2 linked regions of the Sus scrofa genome follow. The protein of the gene in region 2 interacts with the protein of the main gene of each other region in a biochemical or structural test. Links are inferred from orthologs where the notes say so. Each region holds a gene or a part of one and is shown on either strand. Other genes may lie near its edges.

Region 1 (7,795 bases), on a different chromosome or scaffold from region 2:
CATTGAGTAAACATTATCAGACATCAAATACCTTCAGTGACTCCCAAAATATGTGTAGACTGATTACCACACTTCTAAATAACACTTGAGGTATAGATGAAATCGCAAGAGAAATTTACAAAGTTTTTTTTTTAAAAAAATCGAGTTATACTTGATTTACAATATTATTAGTTTCAGGTGTACAACGCAGTGTTTCTAAACTTTTACATAATATTCCATTTAAAGTTATTATACACTGGGAACCATGTCTAGTCACTTGTGATGGAGCATGATAAGTGAAAATAGAATGTGTACATGTATGTGTAACTGGGTCACCATGCTGTACAGCAGAAAAAAAAATTGCATTGGGGAAATAACTATTAAAAAATAAATAAATAAATAAATAATAAAGTTATTATAAAACACTGGCTATATACCCTATCCTTCACAATATAGTCTCACACCTTATTTATTTTATGCATAGTAGTTTGTACCTCTTACTCACCTAACACTACCTTGCCCCTCCTTCTTCCTTTTCCCCTCGGATAACCATTAGTCTGTTCTCTATATCTATGAACCTGTTTCTGTTTCATTACACTCACTTGTTTGTTTGATTTTTTAGATTCCACATATAAGTGAAAACAGAGTATCTGTCTTTGTCTCACTTACTTAGCGTAATACCCCTCAGGTGCATCCATGTTGCTGACAAAGGCAAAATTCCATTTGTTTTTATGGCTGATTAATAATCCATCATATGTATGTACCACATCTTCTTTATCCATTCCTCTGTCGATGGACACTTTAGGTTGCTTCCATGTCTTGGGTACTGTGAGAGAGTGTGTTTGTTTCCTATTGCTGCAAAACAAATTATTCCAAAATGTAGTGGCTTAAAACAGCAAACATGTATTATCTCATTATTGGTGGGTCAGGAATCTGGGCACCTTTAGCTGGTTCCTCTGTCTCTAGCAGAGTGGCAATGAAGGGGCTGGCCCAGGATGCAGTGTCATCCAAAGAGATAACGGGGAGGATCTGCTTGCAAGCTCACCCCCATATTTGTTTTGTTTTTTTTTTTTTTTGTCTTTTTGCCATTTCTTGGGCCACTCCTGCGGGCATATGGAGTTTCCCAGACTAGGGGTCTAATTGGAGCTGTAGCTGCCAGCCTACGCCAGAGCCACAGCAGCGCAGGATCTGAGCCGCGTCTTCGACCTACACCACAGCTCACGGCAACGCCAGATCGTTAACCCACTGAGCAAGGGCAGGGATCGAACCCGCAACCTCATGGTTTGTAGTGGGATTCGTTCGCCATGATGGGAACTCCCCATATTTGTTGATAGGGTTCAGTTCTTTGTGGCTGTTGAACCGAAGACCTCACTTCCTCAAGGTTCTTGGGCCAGAAGATCTTAGCTCCTTTCCACGTGGGCTTCTCTAGAAGGCAGCTGTCAGGATGACAGCTGGCTTCCTTCACAGGGAGCAAGAGAGAGCATGTCGGAAATCCAGTCTCTGGCCCCCCATGCCTAAAGCATGCAGAAGTTCTGAGGTCAAGGATTAAACCTGAGCCACAGCAGTGACAAGGCTGAATCCTTACCCCCGAGCCACTAGGGAACTCCAGGAGTCCTTTTTTTTTTGCTTTTTAGGGCCGCACCTGTAGCATACAGAGTTTGCCAGGATAGGGGTCAAATTGGAGCTGTAACTGCTGGCCTACAACACAGGCACAGCAATGTGGGATCTGAGCCATGTCTGTGACCTACATTATAGCTCACAGCAATGCTAGATCCTTAACCCATTGGGCGAGGCCAGGGATTGAACCTGCCTAGTCAGATTCATTTCCATTGAACCACAATAGGAACTCCCAGCAGCCTATTCTTTCTAAACAAAATCTCAGAAGTGATATTCCTGCACTTGTCTTATTTTGTTTATTGGAAGCTGGTCAGTAAACCCAGCCCCCACAAAAGGCAAGAGGATTATAAAACAAGGTATCAACACCAGAAGGGATCACTGGGAGCCGTTATAGAGGCTTCCTTCCAGAGAAGAGTGCAACAAATCTTAAAAGAGCACTCTATAGTGCCACTTCCTATTATGAGGCATAGCTGGGAGCAACTGGGAAGAAAAAGCAGCTGACACAGCACATTCAGAAATTAAGAACAGGATCTGCCTCCTCCCAAAGTCTAAGTCATGTGTAAGAGATGGGTGAGAAATAAGGGTGCAGGGTGGAAAGAAGTGGCCCCTCTGACTAGAAAATAGTGGCGTAGCATTAAGGATCTAGTGGCATTGTTACTGCAGCAGTGCAGGTTTCATTCCTGGCCTGGGAACTTCCACACATGCTGCAGGTTTGGCCAAAAATATTGCCTGCCATATCAGTAAACAAAGGATGTCATAGCCATCAGGCCACCACATTGGGAATTCAGCCCAGGGAGCGCTGCAGCCACCACCAAGGCTGCATCCTGAGGGCGCGGGATACTAAGGGCACAAGGTAGCTAAGGTGTTCGTCAAAGGAATATTTCAATGCCAGACTCTGCACCTTTCCATAGACAAAAAAGCGTGAAATTCTTTAATTTGGGATGTCTGTTCTTCAACAGTAATGTTCTGATGCTCAGACTTTCTAGTCTTTGCTACACTCCCCCCACTTCCAAGCAGTCCCTCACAGTGATCTGAGTCTCGGCTCCCGCGCTCCAAGTCCTCAGAATGTCTGCCAAACAAAACCTAACTCTCAGCTTTCAGGCTGTGCGTTTTTTTCAGTCAGCACCACCCAACAAGAACCACCTCGCCTTGTGCATAGCAAGTACCACTAAGGCAGGACTTGGGACGAGCTCCCCGGCCCCGCCCGGTCGGGGATACCAGCGCGGGGGGTGCGGGACTCCGTCCGCGCCCCTTCTGCGGGTAGCAGGGTGCACGCACCCCGGGACCTCGCAGCCCTCGGGGGTCGCCGGCAGTCCTACGCGGGGCCGGCTTGGCGCCACCACCCGAGTCTGTGCGCGTCCCCGCGGCCGCCGCCAACAGTGGGGGCACGTTCGCAGCGAGGCTCTTCTGTGACTCGGAAGCTCTTTTACACTTTTGGGGAGAATTTTCTAGACTTGGACGTAGATCTTAATCATTGCCTCCACCAACTCATATCGCAAAAGAAAATACGAATAAGGTAGCTTAATTTTAAGGGTTCTTTAAACTTCCGATCCGCTTCTTGAATTATTTCCACAGAAAACGACCCGTCGGGACCAGCCTTCCTCCCACAACCCCTCCGTTCAACTCTCAGAGCCGCGTCCTTCCCCATCAGGGGGCCCTCGGCGGCGCTCCGCCCCCCGGCTCGACGCACGCCCGTGACGTCACGCCGGCGAGGGTTCTCCGAAGCGCGAGCCCTTCCCGGAGCGTTCTTGCCTCGCGCTTCGCTCTCTCTTACGGTGACTGACTCGAGAGTGTTCCGTCAACTTCTTCTGTCACATTTCTCTGAAGTAGTTGCAGCGCTTCGGGAACCCGGAAACCGCGGGGCGGGTCCGTGGTGACGCACCGGAAGCCGCGGGGCGGGACCCTGCAGTCGGAAGCCGCAGGGCGGGCAGTGGCGCTCCCGGAAGTGGCGCGGTCTTCGCGTGCGTGAGGGCGGTGCGTCGGGCTGCAGGAGAAGATGGCGGTCTCCACAGGTCTGTTCCCGGCCGGGCCGCTTGCTTTTCCACCCCGACCCGAGCTGCGCCTCCGCCTGCTGCCGGCTATCGGCCTGGCCATGCGGAGAAGCAGGAGCGCGGCCCCTTGGCGGCTGCGTTCCCCGTGAAGCGCACTGGGAACAGGGAGGGTCGGGGCTGCTGTCGGGGCGGCGGTCGTGCCCGCGCGTCGGCTGCGCGCCCTAGAGCTGGGCTGGGCCCTGCTTGGTCTGGGGTCCTGCAGGCGTTGCTGGGTCAGGCAGGCGGGGGCTCGCGGACTGTGAGAGAGCGAGCAGGGGTGCCCAGGGTGGGCTACCTCCACCTGGGCGCGGGAGGGCTCGCTTGGGGGTCCAGGCTGAAGCGAGTCTGATTCCTGACTCGCCTTGACGTGGGCGGAGGACGGGGCCGTCTCCTAACTGACCGCAGGTGTGTTATCTTTCATTTGAGTGAAAAACTGTGGTGCAAACTAAGTAAAAGCAAGGAGTGAGGTGAACGCTAACTGAAGAAAAAGCAATTTCTTAGATTAGCTATTCAACTCCTTTCTTGCACTTAATACAGTTTTGTTTTCTATGAGCACAGACTTTGAAATTAAGTATTACCACTAAGATTTTAGACATTTGACTATTAAATGTTAAAGTCAAAATGTTAGGCTTTATTACTTAAAAATATTAATGCGTATGATCTTTAATTTTTCTAATCATACCCATTAATACAAACTAGTTTTGCATTTCATGTCATCATTATATAATAAAACGAATTTTCAAGTCTACATACTAAAGTGGAAGGCATCAGTGTATGTTGTGATGGGTAGTCTCAAGGTAATACCATTCTACATTCATTTCAGTGAGAAGTTGTGTCTTTTTAATGTCTCATCTTGACTACGTGCAGGCGTCACGATAAGATGTTTAGTTTTGGTGTTGGGGAACTGTTTCAGTAGACTGATGAGAGATGAGATGAGAACTAAGTAATAAAGCATGGGTGATTTAAAAGTGATATTTTAGTGTTAAAACTTTATAATTACTGCCCTTTCCATTTGAAATCCTGCGTGCTTGTTAGTGGGGCTGTGTTTATGAGATGTGCTTAGTATTTATAGGTTCTTGAAAACTTAGTAATAAAATGATTTATTTTCATTCGATTGATAGTTTTCACTTTGTGGATTTCATTTTTTACTTAAACACAATCCCCCCCACACACACTGTACATATGAGAGAGTGTGGAAATATTTTGAAAAGACCAATGGTTATATTAATGACAGGTACTTTTTATTAACCACATTTAATCATTTGGGGGAGTTGTAAGGAAATTGCCGTGAGATTATTTGCATATTTGTTATATATTGGAATGTGTATTTTCTGGTCTGTATTTTCAGCATTCCTAAATTCTGTATTTACACCGTTTAGATTTATGAGATTTGAAACTTTAGCTTAATTAAAAAGAATATATTTTAGGCAGTTAATTGATGTTTTCTTAAACCACTGAAATTTGTTTTGAAACTGTTGCTAAAAATTGCCCTGGTGAATTTTATGTTCTAGTTATCCTTTTTTGTGCTTTACAAGAGTGACAGTGTTGTCCACTTGGGGGAGAGGTGTCTAAAGTAAGTTCTGGATTATGTATTGGAACTTTTTTTTTTTTTTTTTTAATGGCTGAACTTGAGGCATACGGAAGTACCTGGGCCAGGAATTGAACTTGAGCCGCAGCTGCAACCTGTGTCACAGCTGCGGCAATGATGGATCCTTTAACCCACAGCACCAGGCTGGGGATGGAATCCATGCATCTGCAGCAACCTGAGCCGATGTAGTTGGATTCTTAACCCACTGCACCACAGCAGGAACTCCTGGAGCTATTTTTAAATTATATTTTCTCTTAGTTACACTTTCATATTTGCTTCTTGGTAGTAAGGGAGGGAAACAGTACCTTTATATCTGTGAAGTAGATGTGGTAAAGCTTGAAATTTAAATTAGATTAGTTAGATCAGGTATTGTATATGTTTGCTTGTTTTTCTTTTTCTTTCCTTTTCTTTTTTGGCTGCTCCTGAGGCATATTGAAATTCCCAGGCCAGAGATCAAATCCAAGCCACACCTGCAACATATGCCACAGCTTCAGCAGTGCCAGATCCTTAATCCACTGTGCTGGGCCGGATTGAACTGGTGCCTCCACAGAGATAAGATGGATCCTTAACCCACTGCACCACAGTGGGTACTCCTACTTGTTTTTTAATTGAGCCAAAATAACCTTGACAAAAATAGTTATTTGATAGGCCAAAAAGAAAAAGCATCCGACAAATATTTTTTTTTACCTCAATTAAAGCACTGTATTTTAATGTCCATTGCCTAAGTCATATGTTTTTATCCTTTCTGTTACTAGAAAAAAAATTGATGGGGATTCTAATTAAACAGACCTCTGAGCTGAAACATACTTCGCCATACTACTTGATCCTCTTTTTTTGTAGATGAGAAAACTGAGGCCTAAGGAAATATAAGATTTTACATAGTTGGTTATCAATAGAGTCCAGATTAGAATCTAGTTTTTTTACTCTCAGCCTAGTGCTTTTTTCATCATGAGGAACTCTGAATTTGGAATAATCCTGAAATCAGGAGCCCTTATTCCCTTTTAGATTTGAGAGTGGCTTTCATGCTTCTCTTCTAGTAGAATCCTTATTCAGACTCTCAGACACTTCCATTCATGAAATGGGCTGTGGTGGAAACCCCACTGGCTAGATTCCCAGTTCCCAGAGGCAGAGTCACTTCTGGGGGGTCGGTATGATTTCATAGCACACAGCTTAAAAAAAAAATAAAAATACACTGCTATGTTTAGTACCTGTGATTCAAAATTAAAAGTGTATGCAATAATTTATAGTAATAGTACATTTTTAATTTTAGAGTACTTTCAAATTTTACAGAAAAGTTGTGAGGATGGTACAGGGCATTCCTATACATGTATCCAATTTCTCCTGTTAACATCATGGTCTGGTACATTTATCACCAAGTAATGAACGAGTATCAACATACTTATCATTAACTGAAGTTGGTACTGTATTCAGGTTTCTTTAGTTTTTACCTAATGTCTGTTTCTGTCCGAGGATCCCATCCAGAATACATTGTAATGTGAAACATTTGAATATTTTTTGTCATTTATCAGTAGTTAGACTAGTGGTGTGATGGAGCTGTCTTCTCTGAATGCAGAAGATTGCAAAATGTCTTTAGTGAGAGGCTCAGAAAAAAAGATGGAATATTTTTTCTTTGTTGGTAAGCCACATGAGTGGAAAACAAGACCAAAGTAAAACCCAATTACCATTTTCAGAAGTGGGCAGCATTATGTATCCTGGAGCAAGAACTGGGTTAGCAGTGTTTCAGTTTTCCTGCTGCCCTGCTAGATTGCTTTGCATGCTAGATATGCTCCTGCGCTCTTAAGCCTTGCTTTCCACCTCCCCGTCTATGAAAAGGTTGGACAATATGAGGTTGTTTTCCCCATATTAAAGATGAAGATGTGTGGATATGGCAGAACGTGGGAGCAGTAAAAGAGATTTGCATGTATAAATCATAGAATTTGGAAACTAAACAATATAGGAGCTGAACTGTTATAGTCTAAGGTATTTCCCTCTTCAGACTAATAACTGGCCTGGTAGATTTCTCTGTTAGTTATGAACCTGGATGCTCCTGATGCATGTTTGCTCTTGATAACGTCAGGTACTGCTTACTGTGGAGCAGCCCTCCCTTTGCAGAGTAGTTGGGGTGGCAGACTGAAACTGTCCCAAACAGTCTTACTAAGTGTGAAAAATTAGGATCATTCTGTGACCTTTGAAAATGTTCACTAAAACATTTTTTAAAAAGTAAAACTAACATTTGTTAGTACACTGTGATTTAAATGTGAGTTTAAGAATTAGAATGGGGGAGTTCCTGTCGAGGCGCAGTGGTTAACGAATCTGACTAGGAACCATGAGGTTGCAGGTTCAATCCTTGGCCTTGCTCAGTGGGTTAAGGATCCTGCGGTTGCCGTGAGCTGTGGTGTAGGTTGCAGACGAGGCTTGGATCTGGTGTTGATGTGGCTCTGGTATAGGCTGGCGGCTACAGCTCTTATTTGACCCCTAACCTGGGAACCTCCATATGCTGCGAGTGTGGCCCTAAAAGGACAAAAGACAAAAAAAAAAAAAAAAAAAAAGAAAAAAGAATTAGAATGGGAGTTCTCTAGTG
Region 2 (7,020 bases):
GATTTGACCCCTAGCCTGGGAACCTTCATATGCTGTGGATGCGGCCCTAAAAAAAAAAAGGCCAAAAAAAAAGAATCATAAGATATATTCTTTAATATTTCTATAGAAATTGGAGTCCAAGAAAATGTACATTTCCTATATGTGGTGTTATTCATTAAGCATTAAAAATGAATGAAAATCCCAGATAAAGTATGAAGAAAACTGTCATTATATGTTTATTATTTATAATAATATCTGCTTATTATTTTTATTAGGTTAATAATAATGAAATGGTTGCATTACAACGAGAGCCTAATAACCCCTATGATAAGAATGCAATTAAAGTAAACAATGTGAATGGAAATCAGGTTGGCCATTTAAAGAAAGATCTTGCAGCTGCTTTGGCCTATATCATGGACAACAAATTGGCACAAGTTGAAGGGTAATGAGCTTTTGGAGTTTAGTTTTATAGTTGTAGTGATCTTTGAATTTAGGGGTATGCATAGTTTCCCTGAAAATTTTTGTCACTATGCCTTTAGCATGTTTCAGTGAATGTTTTAATTCTTCTTTCATCTGCCTCCACTACCCTAATCCATCAAATAAGCTATTCTCTCACTTTCCTGGTAGATTATCATCATGGAGAAAAATAGACTTTGGTTCAAATATTAGTCCATACCATCTTTTAAGAAAAAATCCTTTTAAAAAAACCTTTTGGTGCATTGATTTGGGAAATCTGGAAGTGCTTATTTAGATCAGAGGTTGTAAGCTGATAGCTTGTGATGAGGTGTAGATGAGTGTGATTTTTGTCTACACAATGTTTAAATGTTTTTTCATTTATTTCCAATATTTGAGTATCTGGATATTTTACATTTTATACATACTTTGTCTACACAGTGTTTAAATGTTTTTTCATTTATTTCCAATATTTAAATATCTGGATATTTTACATGTTATACATCTATTTGCAAAGATTTCTCTTGACAAATGGATGATCTGGTAATGCAGGATACTTATTTCCATATAACATCAGTTGACTGGAGCTGAGTAGCAGCAGTTGCATTAACTAGGTATATACCTTTTAGTTGTACCACCTGTTCCTTTTTTAAAACTTTGTCTCTTTGGTTATGTTTTCTCTTTCATGCATTTGTGTTTGTGATCTCAATTTAAATATAGGGTGTTTAGGATATTAAAATGTGAGTTTTGAGGAGAAATACTCAGCAGTACTTGTCACTTGGAGCCCCTTGGCTTTTGTTACTTAGAACTGAGCACTCAGCAGTGCTCAGTTCAAGTTTTTCAGCTACTGAGAGTAAACTTTTAGTGAATCCTGGATCAGAAATAGTTCTTGAAAATTATTCCTCATTCTCCCAGAGTGGATTTCTGCACTCGGTGGTTCTGTTAGTGAAAGCTCTACCTTCTCAGTTAAACTTACCATCTTACTTATCTTATGATCTTTGTAATATGCTCTCTATATTTTTAAACACTTTTATGTCATCTCCATTTTTTCTGGCATTCTGGTCCTAAAATCCATCTGTTTCTTCTCATTGTTGCTGGTCCTAGTCCATGTCCTTTTTCTGTCTTTCTAGTCTGCCCAGTTCTTTCTATTTTGTTTGCATGCAAAATTTGAATGTGACAATTATTTAGCAGATTCTAAATGGACTTAAATGTAAAAAATAACTTCTAATTTTCTTTTCCTTTGAATTACAATAGGGTAGTTCCTTTTGGTGCAAATAATGCTTTTACCATGCCTCTACATATGACTTTTTGGGGAAAAGAAGAAAATAAAAAAGCGGTTTTAGATCAGTTGAAGAAACATGGATTTAAATTGGGTCCTGCACCAAAAAGTAAGTTTAGGATTTAACCTATTATTTTGGTATCATAAGGTATGGGAATTGTAAAATCTTTATTCTCTTAAATAATACTTTGAATTTGGTTGGCTGAACCAATTGGTGCTAAAGGCTCCAAGTTCTTTTTTTCAGGAATCTTTTAAAACAAATCCTTCAAAATTTTTCCTCTTTATTTTGAAATAACTATAGATTATAGTTGCATAGATACACAGAAAAATGTACAAGGAGATCCCTCTCCTAATTTCTCCCAATGATAATATCTAGAAACCGCTGATTTTAACTATTCTCTTTAATAAATTACAGACAAAAAGAATCTCCCACTAGAGAAAGAAAAATATTAATTTGTTTTGCAAGAGTTGTTGAAACCCTGCGGAATTATTTTAATGTATTTTTTGAATGATTTAGAAGATGTATATGCTTTTAAATTTTTTAGGGAGTTCCTGTTGTGGCTCAGTGGGTTATGAACCTTGCTAGTATCCACGAAGACACAGGTTTGATACCTGGCCTTGCTCAGTGGGTTAAGGATCCATCATTGCCGTGAGCTGTGGTGTAGATTGCAGACATAGCTTGGATCCTGCATTGCTGTGGCTGTGGCTTAGGCTGATGACTGCATCTCTGATTCCACCCCTAGCCTGGGAACTTCATACGCCGTAGGTGTGGCCCCAGAAAGCAAAAAGAAAACAAATTTTTCAAAAATTATATTAAGGGAATTTTAAATTCAGCTTTACGTAAGCTTTAAAAGCTATTTACTTAAAGATAATTTATTTTGTTTGGTGATTTTATTCTTTTCATTTTGTAAATTATAGCTTTAGGATTCAGTTTGGAAAGTGGTTGGGGCTCTGGAAGAGCTGGACCAAGCTATAGTATGCCAGTTCACGCTGCAGTACAAATGACAACTGAACAGGTATACTTCTCTTTTGTTTTGTAATCTAAAAGTGAATTTTAAATGTTGAAGATTGATATTTAAAAGTATAGGATAAATATGTATGTGCTAGTATTAGTGATCTTTAGAGGTATAAGTTACCAAATGTTTAGGTAAAGTATATATTGCAAGCACTTATATGGAAAGAAAGCAATGCTAAGGAATATGTGCACACATATTCGTTCACACATATATTGAAACACACATATTGCTATATATGCTGGGATATTTTACTATGTCTTGATGTTTTTGTATTATTTGAAATTTAATGTTCATAATTAAAAAAAAATTTAAGCTTGAATCCTACTCCTTTTGCAGATGAGGTACTAAAAAATTAGTTCCAAATCTTTGACCTTAGTTATTTCTTACTTTGTCTACTTTGTGATCAAGGATGCAGTTATACTAGGTTAGTTTGGGGATAAATGATAAAAAATAAATTAATGCATATCAGTCTGCCAATTACATTGAAATTTTTTGTTTCTATTTTTAACTTTTTCTTTTTTTTTTTTTTTTTTCCTTTTTACTGTCCCACCTGAGGCATATGGAAGTTCTCAGGCTGGGGTGGAATTGGAGCTGCAGCTGCCACCTTACGACACAGCCACCTCAGCACTTCATCCAAGCTGCATCTGCGACCTATGCCACAGCTTGCGGCAATGCTGGATCTTTAACCCACTGAGCAAGGCTAGGGATCAAACCCGTATCCTTACAGATGTTATGTTGACTTCTTATCCTGCTGAGCCACAATGAGAATGCCATACTTTTAGCCTTTTTATATTCTAATTATAGTTACTGTATTTTCCCTGCTCATGATTAGAAGGACTTAAGCTTGTGCCCAGTGGGTAAACCCCAGATTACCTCTCCTCAATTATTAGACTTAGCCCGATTTGTTCTGGGCTGCTGCTGTGTATTTATTTGCCAATTTACAAAAGTAATTTTAGCATATATATGTTATTATAAAATTGGAGTAAATCAAATTAAAGAACCAACTAGATCAAATTAGCATAAGATTGAAATTATCCTAATGTTTTTCAGCACATAGCAGGATGATTGCAGTAATACTAAGTGAGATGTCATTTACTTGAAAAAGTCAAATATACATGGTAGGATCTGCCAAAATGGTTTGAATACAGTTAATAGAATCACATAATTTAAATGACAAAAGAAACTTTAGAAATACTCTAAACTTTAGAGATACTCATTTTGTAGGCATAAGATAACAGGGCCGTAAAGGTAAAGTATTTTGCCCAAAGTTATATATAGGTTATTTGTGACAGAGCTGTGACTGAAACTCAGGACTTAAAACTCCATTCTGTATTCCTTTGACTGTAACAGTTACAGGACCTATTTATTCTGCCTTTATCGAGCAGTGTATTATCACAAATAATTTATTTTACATACCTTTTGGTATTCATCTCTTTTGGTTAATTAAATGATTTGAAATCTCTGAATTACATGCAATTATTATTTTAATTGGTTTGCTTCATAATGTTTCTTGTTGTTCTTTGTTGTAGCTTAAGACAGAATTTGACAAATTGTTTGAAGATTTAAAAGAAGATGATAAAACTCATGAAATGGAACCAGCTGAGGTATTGAGCCAATGCTTTCTATTTAAAAATATTTGGATTTTAAGATACAGTGTTAATCTATACATTAAATTTTTTTGGCCGTGCCCATGGCCATGTGGAAGTTCCAGAGCCAGGGATCAAACCCACAGCAGGGATCTGAGTCACAGCAGTAACAACGCCAGATCCGTAATCTGCTACATCATAGGGGAACTCCGTTAATCTATACATTTTTATGACAAGATCAATTGTTTTCTAGATTCTGCATGGGGAAAAAGAAAAGGTTTATTGTATTTCTGTTTATGATATTTCCTTTATTTATAGGCTGTTGAAACACCATTACTTCCACATCAAAAACAAGCTTTAGCTTGGATGGTTTCACGGGAAAATAGTAAAGAACTTCCACCGTTCTGGGAACAGCGAAGTGACTTATACTATAACACAATAACTAATTTTTCTGAGAAGGACCGACCAGAAAATGTTCATGGAGGAATTTTAGCTGATGATATGGGTTTGGTAATTTTATTTTTTCTTGAGTTAATAACATTTTCCTTGTAACTATGATTTTATAGAAAGTAATTTTTGAAGTAGATATAGATGGGAAGATGTTGGTGCCAGTTGGGATTAGAATATAGTTTCTCTCATGGTTTTTACTTAAACTAATGCTAAGCTTTTTTTTTTTTTCTTTTGGTTCATTTGCCTAAAGTACAGTTAAAGTAATTAGTAATGATAAGAACATACATTTCTGAATTTTCTTTTGAATTTCAAGGTAGCTTATCTTTCATTTTTTTTTTTTTTCTTTTTACAGCTGCACCTGCAGCATACGGAAGTTCTTAGGCCAGGGGTTGAATCAGAGCTGCAGCTGGGTCCCATGCCACAGCCCCAGCTACACCAGATCCAAACCGCATATGCAACTAACTCTGCAGCTTATGGCTATACCAGATCCTTAACCCACTGACTGAGGCCAGCAATCGAACCCGCATTCTCACAGAGACAATGTTGGGTCCTTAACGTGCTGAGCCACAACAGGAATTCCTCACGGGCTTTCTAATAGGAAGATATGATTCCTTACACCAGCAGTTTTTATTCTTTTTGGTCTCAGCAACGCTTTACATTCTTGAAAATTATTGAGGATCTCAAAGAGCTTTTGTTTTTGTGAGTTTTCTATATTAATATGTCTTAATATTTATGATTTAGATATTAAATTTTTCTGATTGTTTTTAAAATAATAGTTAACAAAACTCATTACTTGTAAACAGAAATAGCGTATTTAAAATGAAAAGTACTCTAAAAGAAAAGCAGTTTTGATAAGGCTGGCATTTACATTTGACATTTTTGCAGATTTTTTGGTTTTTTTTTTTTAGGGCTACACCCATGCCTATAGAAATTCCCAGGCTAGGGGTCGAATCAGAGCTATAGCTGCTGGCCTACACCACAGCTACATAGGATCCAAGGTGCATCTGTGACCCACTTTACAGCTCATGGCAACACCGGATCCTTAACCTGCTGAGCAAGGCCAGAGATGAAACCCACATCCTCATGGATACTAGTCTGGTTTGTTACTGCTGAGCCATGACAGGAACTCCTCATTTTTGCAGATTTCTTTAATGTCTGGCCTGATAGTTGACAGCTAAATTATAATCTGTTTTTTCATTCATACTGTTATAATATGTTATTTTGGTTGAAGTATATAAAGAAAATTAGTCCTCACACAGCTATCCAGTTGTAAAAGGGAGTATTTTAATAGCTTTTTTAGATAACTAGATACAACGATAAGATTAAACAAGTATTAATTTATTAAAGGTTAATAGTTATAACTTAGAACCTAAAAATCTTATCAGTGAACTTTTTATACTTTGTTCCATTAATATCCACTAGTGTAGCTGGCACATTGAGTGGATATTTTACCCATGCATGATTTTGTAACAAAGTATTGCTCATTTGGAAAAGATTGGTTCTCCGAGTTACACAGAAATGCCAAATGTTGATGCATTTCATTATGCAGTATTAAAGAATTTACATTCATTGATACTACCGCTGATCTTATTAGAAAGATATTTACGGAGTTCCTGTCGTGGCACAGTGGTTAACGAATCCAACTAGGAACCATGAGGTTGCGGGTTCGATCCCTGGCCAACTAGGAACCATGAGGTTGCGGGTCCGATCCCTGGCCTTGCTCAGTGGGTTAAGGGTCCAGCGTTGCTGTGGCTGTGGCTTAGGCCGGCAGCTACAGCTCTGATTAGACCTCTAGCCTGGGAACCTCCATATGCCGTGGGAGCGGTCCTAGAAAAGGCAAAAAAAAAAAAAAAAAAAAAAGAAAGATATTTACATTTGGGAAGCTTCTGTGCTTTCAGCATTGGATACAAGTTTTCTAATATTCAATTTTTACTTGAAAGCTCAAATTTTATCATTAGCAACAAATACTGTCAGTTTTCCTTGGAGTTGATAGGCTCACTTTATTCATTTTTCAAGAAAATGTCTGGCACTCAGTCATAAATAACTAGTTGTCAGTTCTTTCAGTTACAAGGTTAATACTTGGAAGTGATAATGCATGATGATGCATGGTAGCTAGTTGAACTTCAGTTTAGTCTCAAGGGACTTTGCTCTAGATAACCTTCATATTTTGTTGTGCAAAAGAAGTATTTTCTATACCTCTTATCTTGTGATACAAAATATTCAAAAGATGTACTTAAGAGGTAAGATTTGATAAATG

Evidence for each region. The genes of interacting proteins can lie anywhere in the genome.
Region 1: the proteins of HLTF (region 2) and UBE2V2 form a complex in vitro, tested with the Homo sapiens proteins (2 studies listed by BioGRID). The link is inferred for Sus scrofa from reciprocal best matches to the Homo sapiens genes HLTF and UBE2V2.

Annotation. Positions count from the first base shown.
Region 1 is NC_010446.5:79,648,245-79,656,039, reverse strand, and holds the start of UBE2V2 (ubiquitin-conjugating enzyme E2 variant 2), read left to right. Parts: upstream 1-3,537; 5' UTR 3,538-3,592; coding exon 3,593-3,608; intron 3,609-7,795. UniProt on the Homo sapiens protein: Has no ubiquitin ligase activity on its own. The UBE2V2/UBE2N heterodimer catalyzes the synthesis of non-canonical poly-ubiquitin chains that are linked through 'Lys-63'. This type of poly-ubiquitination does not lead to protein degradation by the proteasome.
Region 2 is NC_010455.5:89,314,462-89,321,481, reverse strand, and holds part of HLTF (helicase-like transcription factor), read left to right. Parts: intron 1-254; coding exon 255-421; intron 422-1,686; coding exon 1,687-1,820; intron 1,821-2,629; coding exon 2,630-2,727; intron 2,728-4,256; coding exon 4,257-4,331; intron 4,332-4,631; coding exon 4,632-4,823; intron 4,824-7,020. UniProt on the Homo sapiens protein: Has both helicase and E3 ubiquitin ligase activities. Possesses intrinsic ATP-dependent nucleosome-remodeling activity; This activity may be required for transcriptional activation or repression of specific target promoters.